Coturnix japonica: one gene and its partners. The protein of the gene in region 1 purifies or fractionates together with the protein of each later gene. This does not show direct contact. Links are inferred from orthologs where the notes say so. Each region holds a gene or a part of one and is shown in the gene's direction. Other genes may lie near its edges. The genes, in order: PPP1CC, TANC2 and PFDN2.

Region 1 (4,328 bases):
CTGTTGCAGGAAAATACCAGACGTGGTATAGAGGAAAGGAAATTCCCCAGGCAGTTTTTCCATCAGTGTCACTACTGAAGTGTGGCTGTATCAAGAATGAAGTCAGGGTTTCTAATCTTGCAGCCTGTAGTCAAGAAAAGGATTTAACTGGGTGCCAGATTTGTTTGAGTATGTAGAGTTGATTTCTTGGGATGTTGGACTTGTTTTATGAGTCTATGAGTATATTAAAGCAGATACGTACTGGAGTCATAATGTGTTCTTAGTCATTGTCTTACGTAGATATCAACTTTGAGTGTGATAGCATGAAGACAAACTATGTAATCTTCAGGAATGCTGCAGGCAGTATCTGTCTGCAGGTTTTTCCTGTTGGTGCTGTTTCTCTAGGGAAAATAATTGTAAAATATGACAAAGTCAGTTACGTGCCATTTCTGACTGCTTTTTACAGGTGACATCCATGGACAATACTATGACTTGCTTCGGCTCTTTGAATATGGAGGCTTTCCACCAGAGAGCAACTACCTATTCCTTGGTGACTATGTTGACAGAGGAAAGCAGTCTTTAGAAACAATTTGTCTTCTATTGGCCTACAAAATTAAATACCCGGAGAACTTTTTCCTCCTCAGAGGGAACCATGAATGTGCCAGCATTAATAGAATTTATGGATTTTATGATGAATGTAAGTAATATGGTCAGATGGGAGGACCTTTGGCTTGGGAAAGCAGGGTAGGAGGTGCTTACTGTCTTCTAGACCTCCAGTATTAAATCACTTCCTGAACTTGCAGTTAGTTCTGCACACTTCAGATGGCCCTGTGGTCTGTATTAGCAAAAGGAAGTCTTTGCATTGATCTTATTATCGTCTGGTCCTCACAGTACAGAACAGCAAGCAAAGAGGTAATTTTATTTATTGGCCACTGAAGTAAAGCAACTGTTCCCACTGGTATGAATTTGTAAAGTTCTTCAGGTTGTCTGGTCAGAGATTAGGGGATTTTACTTTGCTTTATGGTTTCAGTCACTTTCATGTACCTTTTGAGGTATACTGTGATTGGGGTAAAGGGCTGTTCTGTGTTATTATGGTTACAGCACTTGCAATCTAGTTCCCAATAAATTCTGTAAGTTAATAGATGTGTACATTTGTATGTTACAAAAGGATGTGACCTAATCTCACATAGAGGAGATAAAGCTGTTACGGTGGTTGGGTACTGAGGCTTTCTCACAGCTTCTGCTGGGGACATGCTTGGCTTGTCGGTCACAAAATGTTCTCTGTGTCTCGTTCTCCTTTTTCAACAAGGAAGTGGAGTTGGGTGGTATTTGAGTTGACTCCTCAGAGATTAATCACAGGTTTAGTCACATGGTGCAGATACATTCAGGGTTTGTATCTGATGTGAGAGAGTATTAGAGAAGATAAATATTTGCTTGTAGGTTTTATTGATGACTTTTTTGCAAGTCTTAGTTACAGGCAGCCATAGTAGGTAGCTTGTAGTTGTGTTAGAGAAGTAGATTGAATGGTCTTTTTCCCCCCAATCTTTTCTAGGTAAGAGAAGATACAACATCAAGCTGTGGAAAACCTTCACCGATTGTTTTAACTGTTTACCAATTGCAGCAATTGTGGATGAGAAGATATTCTGCTGTCACGGAGGTAAGTTAAGTTCTTTAGTTGATATTTCATGAAGATGTAATACCCCATAATACTGAAATATTGGCAATTCCATATTCATGACATGTGCTCCTCTCTTGCTGGAAAACATTTTAGGGGCTTTTTGTGTCTTGGAGCTCATTATTGAGGCTTTGAAACTTCAGGGGTTTGTCTCTGCATCACTTTGTGTTGAGAGCTTGATTAGTGGTACTGTCATAAATAGCTGAGCTGGTAGTTCTGCCTTCTGTATTCTTTGTCAGGGGACATATCTGGTATTGTCTCCTTTATTCCAAGAGTCCCCATTGGTTTTCTGACTTGCATGACCAGAAGTTGTATAAACACTCTGAGAACAGTGTTTTAGTGCTCTGTTTACAGACTGGCCCTGTTGTGCTATGTGATAGTTGTTAACTACTTGGAAAAGCTGCGCAAAGCATTTAAGCTGCAGTGTGTGTATTATCACCTGCAAGTAAAACAGTTTCTCGGGAGGAATAGCAGTAAAAAGTGGTTTAAGATCTGATTCTGTATTCCATGTTATTCAGCCTGATCTTTAAAATAAACAAGCCTTGTGATTTCTAGTATTTAATGCCTCTTAGGAGCTCTTTTAACAGACACTTGCAGATTATTGAAGTGGAATTGTTATAATCCTTTACATGTGGAAATGGCTTTGCTTACCTTGCTCCCAGTATATCTTATAGTGTCCCCTGTCAGAAAAGCTTTAAAAATATGCTGGATTGAAATGTTGTTTCACGTTGCCATTGGGCCGCACCAGATGTTGATGGGAATCAGGCTGTGTAAGCTTCACTCATCTTTGAGCTGATTCCTCAGTTTTACAGTGTAAAGGTGGAGTAAAATGCAAGCTGTGTTATCTTATCTGCACACAGGTTTGTCACCAGACCTTCAGTCAATGGAACAGATCAGACGAATTATGCGTCCCACTGATGTACCTGACCAAGGTCTTCTTTGTGATCTCCTGTGGTCTGACCCTGACAAAGATGTCTTAGGATGGGGTGAAAATGACAGAGGAGTGTCCTTTACTTTTGGAGCTGAAGTGGTTGCTAAGTTTCTCCATAAACATGATTTGGATCTCATATGTAGAGCTCATCAGGTATTTTAACTTTGTGCATTAAACCATGGGATAATTGAAATGGAAAGGGACCTGAGGTGGTCATCTCCATGCACGTGTACTCAGTGTGGAGCAAAACAGACATGCAAGATCTCATCCAGCTGGCTTTATATATAAGCAAGGATGGAGATTCCAGCATCTTGGAGCAGCTTGTCTGCTGTTTAAAAGCCTTTGTAATTAATGCTCAGTGCATTCATAGTGTGGGGCTGGTATTTGAACAAGATGGCTTTCAACGTCACAGAACTCTGGTGGCTTTTATTGCTGATGGACCTTGTTGAGCTGGAGCTTGTGATGTTTTCCCAGTTTGGGGGTGAAAGTCTAGGACTGGTGCTCCTTGGCTATGACTGTTTCTTCAGCTGCTGACTCTGCTAGAGCTGCGTTTCACTGTACTTTGTCTGGAGGAAATTGCCTGGTGTAATTTGTGTTTCTCTCCAAAGGTTGTGGAAGATGGATACGAGTTCTTTGCAAAAAGACAGTTGGTAACTCTCTTTTCTGCCCCAAATTACTGTGGAGAGTTTGATAACGCAGGTGCCATGATGAGCGTGGATGAAACCTTAATGTGTTCTTTTCAGGTATTGTATCTGACAACTTTACCTCCCAGTTATTGCAGTAACACTTTGTTTCATCTTTTCCATTTATACTGTGCCATCGCACACCTGTAACACCTGCTTCAAATAGATCTCACGTATTGAGTGTAGGCAGAGCTGTGTTTGCCCTTGTGGCTTTAAAAATGTGATAAGCCCTTTCTGGTGTGAGTAGATGAACTGTTTGACCCTGGGATTAAATAGCTGGAGCAAAGCTATCAGCTGTCTTCCTGCTTCCATTGGCATGGGCCCTCTGGTCAGCTGCTCTCTAAGCCCCAACAGAGCTCAGAGCAGAAAACCCATTTATTTCAGAGGCTTATGAGCTGCCCAGATGATCTGCGTAGCTCCTTACACGACCAAATGGGCTGTTGAGTGGAGTGTAGGGCAGCCAGCACTTTGCTTAATGACTGAACTGTCTTTTTCAGATCCTGAAACCCGCGGAGAAGAAAAAGCCCAACGCCAGCAGACCTGTAACGCCTCCCAGGAGTATGATCACAAAGCAAGCCAAGAAATAGTCCACGTGGCACTGCCTGGTTGGGACTTGTATTATAATATATAACCTTCCTTTTTAAACTGTAACGTGTACTGTTCAGCTTGCTCACAATAGAACGTGTTTGTGGTTTCCCTTTTGATTTGATGAATGGCATTTGCTGGTTGTAACAGCAAATGAAGGACTTTTCTCCCTTCTAAGAAAAAGAGTTTTAGGCTTCCCTTTTGTTGGTGTTGGGCTGCACGCTCCGCAGCATCGATCCTGTCATGATGGGTAACCGTACGACTGACTTTCTCAACCTGTACAATTAGTGTAAATGCTTGTTTTCTCCTTTAGGATCTAAAGAGGGCACTGGTGTGCTGTGAGAGTAGAGTTTGTTACTGTTGGAGATGACTTACTGTTTATACAAACCACTGTGAACTTTTTTTTTACGTTCAGATTTGTTTTAAAGGGATTGCTTTTCTTTTTACGTCTTGTCCTGTACACGTTGGTTTTATC
Region 2 (5,388 bases), on another chromosome or scaffold:
GCCACATCCAGCCTGGCCTTGAATGCCTGCAGGGATGGAACATCCGCAGCCTCCTTGGGCAACCTGTTCCAGTGCATCACCACCCTCTGGGTGAAAAACTTCCTCCTAAGATCCAACCCAACCCCCCCCCCATCTCAGTTTAAAACTATCCCTCCTTGTTCTATCACTGTCCACCCATGTGAATGTGGCCTCGCAGCTCTGAAGGTAAAAACACACGACAGTTTCCATACACAACCCTGCACATGACAACATATTTTGTTTCATATTTTTTGGGGGGCGGGAGTGTTTTTTCCTTCTCTTTATTTAATAGGCTCTTGAGAATTGGAAGCTTTCAGCAGAAGGACTGATACCATAGGAGTTTATAGACATGCTGTCTGAAGCTTCTAAGGCAGCTGCTAACAGATCAGATGCTGACTGCTGATCTCAGAGCTTTCCCAAAGCAGCATTGATTTTGTCTCCTTTCCTTTCCTCCTCACCCGAGATGTCACTAACTCATTGTGACAGTCACTGCACTGAAGGTCTTTGCTCATTGTCATGAAAGCTGTCAGAGTGCTGCAGAGTTCAGGGCTCTGTTGTCCTGCAAAATGGTGTCTGTTGTCATCGGCCTCACAAATAGTCCACATTAGTTTCTTTTCTGACCCTTCCTATCACCACATCTGAGCAAACATCGCATCTACCTGATTTGAAGCCCTGTTGTTCAGAGCAGCTTGCAGAAATGGCCCAAAGTGCAGAGCAGCAGCGTGCACCCAATGCGTGTGGTTCTCCTGGGCATGGGGGTATGCAGAGCCAGCACAAACACAGCACTTTGTTTTCTTGGCATGCACAAATGTCACCGTAGGAGGAGTGGGGCTGCTCCTTCCTCCCAGCAGTCCTGGGTTGGGAGCCACTGCCATGCAGGAAAATGAGCTGGGTAACTCATTGCGAGGTATTTCAGCTCTGGGTTATAGGGCATTTTGGAGGATGCTTGTTTCTCTTGCCACACAGGTTGACCTCCAGCTGGTCCCAAGTTATTGGGGGATGGAAATATGGAATCAGGGCTCTCCATATCTTCCAGCTCTGCAGATGGGGAGTGCTGGCAGGCTGATGGCTACTAAGAGTTCTGCAACAAAACGAGCAATGTCTGGAAATTGGTTTTAAGATCTATAACGTTTAAGGCACTGTAAATATATCAGCAGGTCTTTTACAAGGTGCTGATGGAGTTTTAATGGTGCTGGGGCAAAATTGTTGCTTAATGGTTAATGATGGATATCACTGAGAAACTTATATTCATGTTTCTCCAATATGTGTATATATTTAATCTCAAGGAATTTAAATAATATATAGGAGAACAAAGTAGGGATTCTTCCCCTCTCTCTGCTTCCTCCTTTGGGCTTTATGAGAAACATGATATATGGATATAAAACTCAGGCTCCACTCACTCCATGATTTCAGAGCCATAAAGTGTGTTTCCAGGTGCATCCAATGAGCTTATGAGGGAGTCAGCTGAAAAAGGATCTCTGGTGACTTTAATGCAAACTGTGTGTTTTTCATATGGCTATTAGTGGTACGTTCAGAACTAAATGCAACTTGGTAACGTCAGGCTGGGACAGAATGGGATTCCACTCAACTCCCTGGAGTATTGTGGACAGCTCATGTTGGCAATGAGTGTTCATTCATTAAAATACCTATTTTCTGAGGATGGAAGCTGAGTATGCATGGACCTACCTATGTGCAATTAGTGTGTCATAAGAGAGAGGTTGTCACCATATCTTCTTTCTCCCTTACCCTTAAAGTACTCTGTAGCCACATGTTTGGCCTCATAAGGAAATGCTTTCTTCTCTTTTTTTTGCATCTTAGAGAGGAAGATCCCTGACGAAGATTTCATCATATTAATTGATGGTTTAAACGAGGCTGAATTTCACAAGCCAGATTATGGTGACACCATCGTATCATTCCTGAGCAAAATGATTGGGAAATTCCCTTCCTGGCTGAAGCTGGTTGTGACCGTCAGGACGAGTCTACAGGTACTCTGAGTCCTGGGAACTGCTGGGCTGTCAGGATGGGCTGTGATAAAGAATAGCTTAGGGTGTATCAGGCTTTGCTGGTGGTAGGTAAATTGCATCCCCTGTTGTCTTCACTGTGAGCTTTGGTTTTGCACCACCATTCAGGAGATGGGGCTGCTCTCCTCAGTCTCTGCTGGGTCATTTCTCCCCAGTATGCAGTGACAGAGCCTATAACATAAGAACCCTGTTGGAAAAGCATTTAATGATTTGGGGGTTTGCTCTATAAGCACATCCATTGGTGAGCTTAGCAAATGAGAGATTCCCTGGCCATGGTATCCAGCTAGACATCATTGCTTGGAAACAGTGGAACTTACTCCCTGTGACCTGCCCTGTTGGTCAGGGTCAGCAGTGGGATTTCTCTTCTATCACCTCCACATCCTCCACTTTCAATGGCTGAGATGACAGCAGGAGGGTTGGCACGTTGCTGTTGGGTTGGGCTGGGGTGGGGATGATGAGGGCACCTCTCTGTGCCAGTTTCCTGGTCCTTCTTGTGGATGCAGTGTTAGGAACCACATCCTGCATTTTTATTTCAGTCACGTCTCACACAGAAACTGTTTGATTATAGATGAGGTTGTGAGGTCCTGAGGGCTTAAACTGCCTTCTCATGTGCTTTCTCTGATGGAAAAGGTCTTAAAGGAGTCTCGGAGGTGCTATTGTAATACAAATCAAGTTTACTTAATGAATAATAAGCATTCCCAGAATGAATATACTTCTGTTTTCTTTCTTTGCAGGAAATAATTAAGCTGTTGCCCTTCCACAGAATATTTTTGGATAGACTGGAAGAGAACGAAGCCATAGACCAGGACCTGCAGGCTTACATCCTCCATCGGATACACAGCAGCTCGGAGATCCAGAACAACATCTCACTGAACGGCAAAATGGACAACACCACCTTTGGCAAACTCAGCTCTCACCTCAAGACCTTGAGCCAAGGGTCCTACCTGTACCTGAAACTCACTTTTGATCTCATAGAGAAAGGATATCTAGTACTAAAAAGCTCCAGCTACAAAGTAGTCCCAGTGTCTCTGTCAGAAGTTTACCTGTTGCAGTGCAATATGAAGTTCCCAACGCAGTCTTCCTTTGATCGGGTTATGCCTCTCTTGAATGTGGCAGTGGCATCTCTGCATCCTTTAACAGATGAGCATATTTTTCAGGCCATTAATGCAGGTAACATTGAGGGCACTTTGGAGTGGGATGACTTTCAGCAGAGGATGGAGAACCTTTCTATGTTTCTTATCAAACGTAGAGACATGACGCGAATGTTTGTTCATCCCTCTTTCCGAGAATGGCTTATTTGGAGAGAAGAAGGTGAAAAGACCAAGTTTCTTTGTGATCCTCGGTAAGCAGACGCTCTGAGAAATGGGTTTATGGATGTGTGTTCATCTAAAAGTGTTCTGTTCTGTTCTGAGAACCGCTTCGTTGGTTGAGGTCACACATGGGATGAGGTTGCTTTTACTTGGCTTTCTGTCCACACTGTGTGGGTCTACATCTGTGCTGGTCTCCTTAAACCTATGTGTTGGTCATGGAAAGTTGTGGGTGCTTCCTGGGCACACAGATGAGCCAGGAAACATCAGAGTCATCTCCAGGGTGAGCTGAGCCCTGGAAGGACCTCGGAGGGTCCACACTCGGCAGCTCGAAGCTGCAGTTATGGCACTGCTGGGGGGAGCTGCATTGACATCCCCAGCTCTGGCAGGAGGGAGAATCTTCCTCCATTCCCTCCCAGCCACGCAAAATAAGGGATGAGGAGATGAAGGATGAGCAGCATCGATGCATCTTTTGAAGCTGGCTTCTTTTTGAAGTCTTGCTCCTTGTAGTCCTATTAAGTGTCATTTGGAGAGCAGAATGAGGAACAGAGTCAGGCTTTAGCAATGTTGGACTCTTAAGTGCATGTGTAATCTCTGTTCTGACAGCAGCAGAGCTCCTGGCTTAGCTCACAGAGAACAGAATTTAATCATGGTTAGATTTACATTCTGTAAGCCCAATGATCACTATTAACTGCGTTATCTTTTGTTTTTTACTGAAGAGTGGAAACAGACGCTCTGACTGTAATGCTGGTCGTTGATCCCTGTAAGCTCTGCTCTCTTTTCCCTGCCCATCTCCAAAAATACGATTAGAAAACTCAGGGAAACACTTGGATTCTCAGCCTTATCGGGGCATCTCTAGGCCCTGCAACCAGGCTGATGAAACACAGCATTGTCTGCTGGAACCAAACAGCTCCTGGTTGATCAAAGCAGCCATAGCTGCTGGCGGTCTCAGAGTAATTTACTGCTTTAAATTTTGTGGCAAACAGTCTGGAGTAGAAAAATAGCACGTAGCTCCTCCCAATGGGAAACCGACCTGCTTTAATAGGTTCTGCACAACAGTCCTATCGAGTGAACCCTTTGGAAAGCATCTTACAGCAGCGAGTGGCTCTGTATCAATCGATGGCAGCTATTTGATATCCTTCCTCTTGAGTCATTAAGTGCTTGTCGCTGGAGAATTCTTCTCAACCTTCTTTGTAATGTGTGTGTGCCTGTGATGCCTGTGGAGCTGAGATCTGCTCCCCTTCCTGGGTATGGGCAGCCTGGGAGCAATGATCACCACCACAGGAGCAGTTCAGGTAATTCAGTGCCATCCTGTGTTGGCAGGAAAAGGAAACCCATCTGCAGAACACTCCCCTGATGCTGAACACCCCCATATGTGGCATTCTGCACATAGCAGCCAGTTGTGCAGCTGTGTAATCCAGGTGTTTTTGGTTCCCTGAGCCCAGCACTGTTCTTCCTGGTGCTTACAGAGGTGGCCAGGAGCTTCCTATTCTCACAGTGGTAGGATGAGAGGTGATGGCTTCCACCTCTCAGGTGGTAAATACGTGGTCACTTGAGCATATGTGGGCATCTGTAGGGCCCCATGGGATTGCCAGCACTCAGCAGACCAGGTGCCTTGCCAGAGGCAAGAAGTTACACAGTGCTAAAACAGGCTGCCAGTGCCTTGAGTGCAAGTCTGTATGTACTGAAAGGCTAATAAATTTCTCTAATGTATAATGCACGCTAATTGCATTACACTCTGATGGTAGATAATGAAGCAGGATACATTTGGGTGATTAATAGGGCAGACCCCCTGAGATTCTGCTGTTGTGCTCCTCAAAACCCTCCTGTCCAGCTAATATTGAGACGTTGAGCTCAGGGCATAGTAAACCCTTAGTAACAATGAAGATAAATGATGATTTTTCACTTTATTTCTCTAAAAGAAGCACAGCTTGCCCCTGACCGAGCCACCAGGAGCAGATTTGGCTGCAGCTTTGATTTCCTTTCTGCTTGCATGGGTTCATCATCGCTGGGGCAGGAGCACATTGTTAGCACAGAGCTCA
Region 3 (5,488 bases), on another chromosome or scaffold:
CCGTCATGGCTCGGTGGCTGTGACACGGGACCGGTCAGCCCAGGGGATGGGGCACCGCGGTGGTCTGTCCCCAGCCACTGCCTCCCATCTGTGAGTACCTGCCTAGTGCGTGCGGGGGGCGCGGGCACAAGCGGTGCAGTGGGAGCCGCAGCACCGCGCTCAGCCTGGGTAGGGGGGCACAGAGTGAGCCCCTCTTCAAAGCCAAAACTGCCCCAGGACACCCCCAGTTTGTCCCCAGGACTCTCAGGCTGCCCCTCAACCCGCTTCCAAGCTGCCCCATGTTGCTCCTAGCACCCCTCCCAAACTGACCCAACACCTCCAGACGGCCTCCAAGCCATAGACTGCCCCCAGGTAGCCCCATAGACTGCCCCTATGCAGCCCCATGTTGCCTCTTGGAGCACCTAACAGCTCCCAGGCAGCCCCAGGACCCCACCAAAGTGCCTCACAGTGCCCCCATGTCCCTCCTCATACCCTAACCACCCCTAACCATCTCAGGACCACCATGACTTGCCTCTAGAATGCACCAGCTTGCCCTCAACCCCAACCCACACCCCAGCTGCCCCACACTGCCTGTACAACCCCTCCATACTGCCCCACATTGCCGCATAGAAAACCCTCCATCACTGCCGTCACATTGCCTTAGAACCTCCATTCCTGCCCCACATTGCGCCCTTAGTATTAGCCACGTGCCATACTGGCCCCACATTGCTCACATAGAACCCTCCATACTCGCCGTCACATTGTGTTGCGGCTTAGGAACCCTCGCATTTCTGCGTACCACATTGCCCTCAGAAACCCTCCATACTGCTTCTTCACAGGCTCTTGCCCTTAGAAAACGCCCTCCATTTCTGCCCCACATTGGCCCTTAGAACCCTCCATTCTGCCCCCAACAATTGCCCTCTTAGCAAAACTCATCCCATTCTGCCCCACAATTGCCCACTCTAGAACCCTCCAATTCCTCGCCCCACATTGCCCTTAGAACCCTCATTCTGCGCCTCACATCCTGCCTTAGAACACTCCCATTCGTGCCCCACATTGGCCCTTGACAACGCCTCTCATTCTGCCCCACATTGCCCTTGACAGACCTAGCAGTGACTGCCCTCACAATTGCCCCTTAGAACCCTCATACCGCCCCACATTGCCCCTTAGAACCGCCTCCATTCCTGCTCACATTGCCTTAGACCTCCATACTGCCCCACATTGCCCTTAGAACCCTCCATACTGCCCCACATTGCCCTTACAACCCTCCATACTGCCCCACATGCCCTTAGAACCCTCCATACTGCCCCACTTCCCTTAGAAACCCTCCATTTCTGCCCCCATTGCCCTAATGCCCGTCCATATCTGGCCCCACTATTGGCCCTTTAGAACCCTCCATACTGCCCCACATTGCCCATAGAACCCTCCATACTGCCCCACATTGCCCGCATAGAACCCCCATATACATGACCCTCACGATTGCCGCTACAAACTCCTCCCATAACTGCCCCGACATTGCCCTTAAACCCTCTCATACTGGCCACACATTGCCCTATGAACGCCCCCATACTGCTTCGCCATCGCCCCTAAACACCCTTCAAACAACCCCATAGAACCCCCAACACCCTTCAAACACCCCATAGAACCCCAACAACCTTCAAATCACCCCCCTATTATGATAACCTTCCAACTGCCCTTAAATGCCCACTTTGATTCTCTCTTCCCATTGCCCACAGGATTTCTCCAGAACCCTGTATCCCCCCCCGGCCCGTACAATATCGTTCTCGCGGCCCCGCACCGAGGCGGGAGGCGTGACAGATGAGGGGTCAATGGGCAAAGTCCCTGCCACAACAAGATGGCGGCCGGCACTACCTCACCATATAGCCACCGCTGCCGGGTTTTGAGCCATAACCAAGATGGCTTCCATGGTGTTTCCTGTATACACCGGAAGAGCTTTACTCGCTGTCGCTCTGCGCCGGAAGAGAGGCTGCCCAGTTTCCGGTGTGCGCCGGAAGAGACGCAAAAACGGTGGAGGGGGAAAATGGCGGAACAGCGCGAAAGGGGCGGCCCGGAGCAGCGGGGCCGGGCGGGAAGGCGCTGGACGGCGGAACAGGTGGCGGGGCGGGGTTTGGGGACGGACAGAGGGACGATCCCGGGATCCCAGCGGTGACATCCCCGGTGGTTGTGGTTGTGTGGTTGTTTGAGCAGGTGGTTGGCTCGTTCAAACCGGTTTACGACAGGAACAGCGGCGGCCTGGCGTCCCAACAGGCGGCGGAGCTGAGCTGGAGCTCAACGAACACGGGTGGGGGGGACATCGGGGGGTAACGGGACGGGGGGGGGGGGGGTGGGGCTGGGGTTAGGGGGATGGGAATGTGGGGTTATGGGATTATGGGGGGGTTGTGGGGATATGGGGTGTGGGGAATATGGGGTGGTGGATATAGGGGGGGCGTGGGGACACGCGGGAGGGGTGTAGGGGCATGGGGGGGGTACGGGATATGGGGGGGGGGTGTGGGGACATGGGAGGCGTGGTGGGGGAATATTGGGGGGGTGTGGAGATATGGGGGGTTGGGGGTCATGGGGGCGGTACGGGGATATGGGGGTGTATGGGATATGGGGGGGCGTGGGGGGTATGGGATATGGGGTATGGAGACTGGGGACATGGGGGGCTATAAGGGGGAACATGGGGGTAGGGAAATATGGGGGGTATGGGGACATGGGGTCATGGGGGGGTGTGGGACATGAGGGAGGTACATGTGTATGGGGGTGTAATGGGAGACATGGGGAGGGTGTGGGGATATGGGGGGGGTGTGGGGATATGAGGGGGGTACAGGGACATGGGGGGTATGGGGCTATGGGGAGGTGTGGGGACATGGAGGCATGTGGGGATGGGGGTGTGGAGATATGGGGGTAGGGGTTTACATGGGTAATGGAATATGGGGGGGGGTATGGAGACATGGGGTCCATGGGGGTGTGGGGACATTGGGGGGAGTAACGGTGATATGGGGGTGTATGGGGACATGGGAGGGGTTAATGGGGACATGGGAGGGGGGTGTACGGGGATATGGGTTATGGTGACATGGGGCCAGTAGGGGGGTTATGGGTCATGGGGGTGTGGGGGGAACAACTAGGGGAGGGTATTTGGGGTCATGGGGGGTGTGGGACATGGGAGGCTACAGGGATATGGGGGGGTATGGGGACATGGGAGGCTACAGGGATATGGGGGGGGGTACGGGGACATGGGGGTGTGGGGACGTGGGGGGTATGGGGATATGGGGGGTACGGGGAACATGGGAGAAGTATAACAAGAATGGGGGGTGCGTGGGGGATGTTGGCATTATGAGACATGGGAGGAGGTCATGCGGGGAATAGTAGGGGTGTGGGGACATGGGAGGGCATTGGGGACATGGGGTGTGTGTGGGGACATGGCGCGCGGTATGGGATATGGGGGGTAAGCGGGAGCTTGGGGGGATTGTGGGGACATGGGGGGTATGGGATATGGGGGGTGTGGGGACTTGGGGTTAGGGGGGCAATGGGGGGGGTACGGGGATATTGGGGGGGGGGTGTGGGGACAATGGGGGGGTATGGGGAACGGGGGGGGGTATGGGGACATGGGGTCTTTGGGTGGGGTAGCCGGGGACATGAGGGGTACGGGGATATGGGGGGGGGTGTGGGGACAGTGGAGTGGGGGACATGGGGTGTGGGGACAATGGGGCCCAGTTGTGGGGACATGGGGGGGTATGGGGACATGTTGGGGGTACGGGGATATGGGTAAGCAGTGGTTGGGGGCACCTGGGCAAATGGGTGAGGGGGGAAAAAAAAAGGGGGGGAAAAAAAAACGGGGGACGTTTATGGAATAGGGGCAAGCAAGGGAATGGGGGGGGGCACGGAGGACATTGGGTACCAAGGAGGGGTGGGCAGCAGAATGGGTTTGGGGGGATACTGAAGGGAATGGGAGGGTAATGGGGGTGTAAGGGCGTGGGCTGGGAGAAAGATGGGGGTTGGCAAAGGGATATGGAGGGGGGGTGGTAACAGTGAATGGGGGAGGCATTGGGATAGGGGGAACCAGCGGGGGTGTGGGTGTCAGTGGGATGGGTGTGTGAGGGACGTTGTAAGGGGGGGGGATGTGGGGGGATGGAAATGGGTGTGTGGAAGGTGGGGGGGGACAGTACGGGGGGGGGGGGACGCTGGGGTGTCACTGGGTGTGTGAGGGACACCAGGATGAGGAGACACTGATGTGTCGGGGCACGTTGGGGATATGAGGGGGGACAGTGAGGATGTGGGGGGGGGTCATCGAGTATGGGGGGGTGACTTGGGGAGGATGTGGAGGGCGTATTGGTTGGAGGATAGGAGCTGACACTGGGGTGTGGCGGGGCTTGCATGGGGGGGGGGGCCTCCCTGGATGGAGGAGGAAACATATGAGGAGTGGTGGGAGCGACGCTGTGATGAAACGAGGGATCTGGTTGAACGCTGGGAGCGCTGCAGGGTTGACGGGGGCTGACGGACCCCCCCCCCCCCAACAGCCTCGTGATTGAGACGCTGCGGGAGGTGGATCCCACACGGAAGTGTTACCGCATGGTGGGGGGCATCCTGGTGGAGCGCACTGTCAAGGAGGTGCTGCCCGCACTCGAGGGCAACCGAGAGCAGGTAACTCCAAACCCCCCCGGCACCCACAGACCCCTCCGCTCCCTCCCATAAAGCCCCTAAAGCCCCTCCTCTCTCTCCTCCCAGATCAGCAAAATCATCGAGTCGTTGAGCCAGCAGCTGCAGAGCAAAGGCCGCGAGCTGAACGAGTTCCGTGAGAAGCACAACATCCGCCTGGTGGGCGAGGATGACCCCCGGCAGCCCCCCAAGGACGGCACCGAGGGGGGCAAGGGCGGCACTGCCGGCGTCCTGGTGTCGTAGCCTTGTCCCCCTGCTGCCCCCTGCCCTCGTTGAGTGATTTTGTTGAATAGATGTGGGGATTTTGGGTCACAAGTGTTCTCTAGTTACGGGGCAGAGCCCTGGGAGGTGGCACTGAGGGCGGTGATAGCGGTGGCACTTTGAGGACGCCCTTGAGCTGCCCCATGGCTGCTGGTGGCCGCCTCCTTCCTGCACCACGTCCCTGCTGTGCCCTGGGCTGTGGGGGAGGGGCACACAAAGGTGTCACTTCTGCTGGGGGTGCAGGGGACAAAAAGCCACCAGGACGTTGTCCCCGCTTGGATCCTGTGTCCATCTTGTGCTGTTTCTCTTCCAAAAGTGTGTTCCTTTGGCAAAGGGGATGTGGGCAGCTCATGAGGGGGTCAATAGGGCTGGCACTGGGGGGGGACAAGGGGACATGGGGATGCTGGGGGCACACACAGCAGTGTGGGGATGCAGAGACATGGGCTGGTACTGGGGGATTTGGGGGCATGGGGTGATGGAGGTGCTGGGGGTGGCATGGGGGACACAGGGACAACGGGGTGTGGGGATGATGCTGGTAATAGCACGGGGACATGGGGCCATGTCTTTATGTTACGGGGGGGTTGTGTGG

Evidence for each region.
Region 2: the proteins of PPP1CC (region 1) and TANC2 purify together in Homo sapiens (affinity purification with mass spectrometry; 3 studies listed by BioGRID and IntAct, counting the BioPlex papers as one, with this or other methods). This does not show direct contact. The link is inferred for Coturnix japonica from reciprocal best matches to the Homo sapiens genes PPP1CC and TANC2.
Region 3: the proteins of PPP1CC (region 1) and PFDN2 purify together in Homo sapiens (affinity purification with mass spectrometry; 4 studies listed by BioGRID and IntAct, with this or other methods). This does not show direct contact. The link is inferred for Coturnix japonica from reciprocal best matches to the Homo sapiens genes PPP1CC and PFDN2.

Annotation. Positions count from the first base shown.
Region 1 is NC_029530.1:5,180,175-5,184,502, reverse strand, and holds part of PPP1CC (serine/threonine-protein phosphatase PP1-gamma catalytic subunit), read left to right. Parts: intron 1-445; coding exon 446-676; intron 677-1,531; coding exon 1,532-1,636; intron 1,637-2,514; coding exon 2,515-2,738; intron 2,739-3,193; coding exon 3,194-3,328; intron 3,329-3,765; coding exon 3,766-3,855; 3' UTR 3,856-4,328. UniProt on the Homo sapiens protein: Protein phosphatase that associates with over 200 regulatory proteins to form highly specific holoenzymes which dephosphorylate hundreds of biological targets.
Region 2 is NC_029542.1:2,057,632-2,063,019, forward strand, and holds part of TANC2 (protein TANC2), read left to right. Parts: intron 1-1,836; coding exon 1,837-2,003; intron 2,004-2,773; coding exon 2,774-3,381; intron 3,382-5,388. UniProt on the Homo sapiens protein: Scaffolding protein in the dendritic spines which acts as immobile postsynaptic posts able to recruit KIF1A-driven dense core vesicles to dendritic spines.
Region 3 is NC_029540.1:2,482,615-2,488,102, forward strand, and holds PFDN2 (prefoldin subunit 2), read left to right. Parts: upstream 1-2,020; coding exon 2,021-2,092; intron 2,093-2,219; coding exon 2,220-2,281; intron 2,282-4,499; coding exon 4,500-4,623; intron 4,624-4,707; coding exon 4,708-4,881; 3' UTR 4,882-5,179; downstream 5,180-5,488. Other genes in the region: NIT1 (deaminated glutathione amidase), read right to left, coding at 1-17, 99-361. UniProt on the Homo sapiens protein: Binds specifically to cytosolic chaperonin (c-CPN) and transfers target proteins to it. Binds to nascent polypeptide chain and promotes folding in an environment in which there are many competing pathways for nonnative proteins.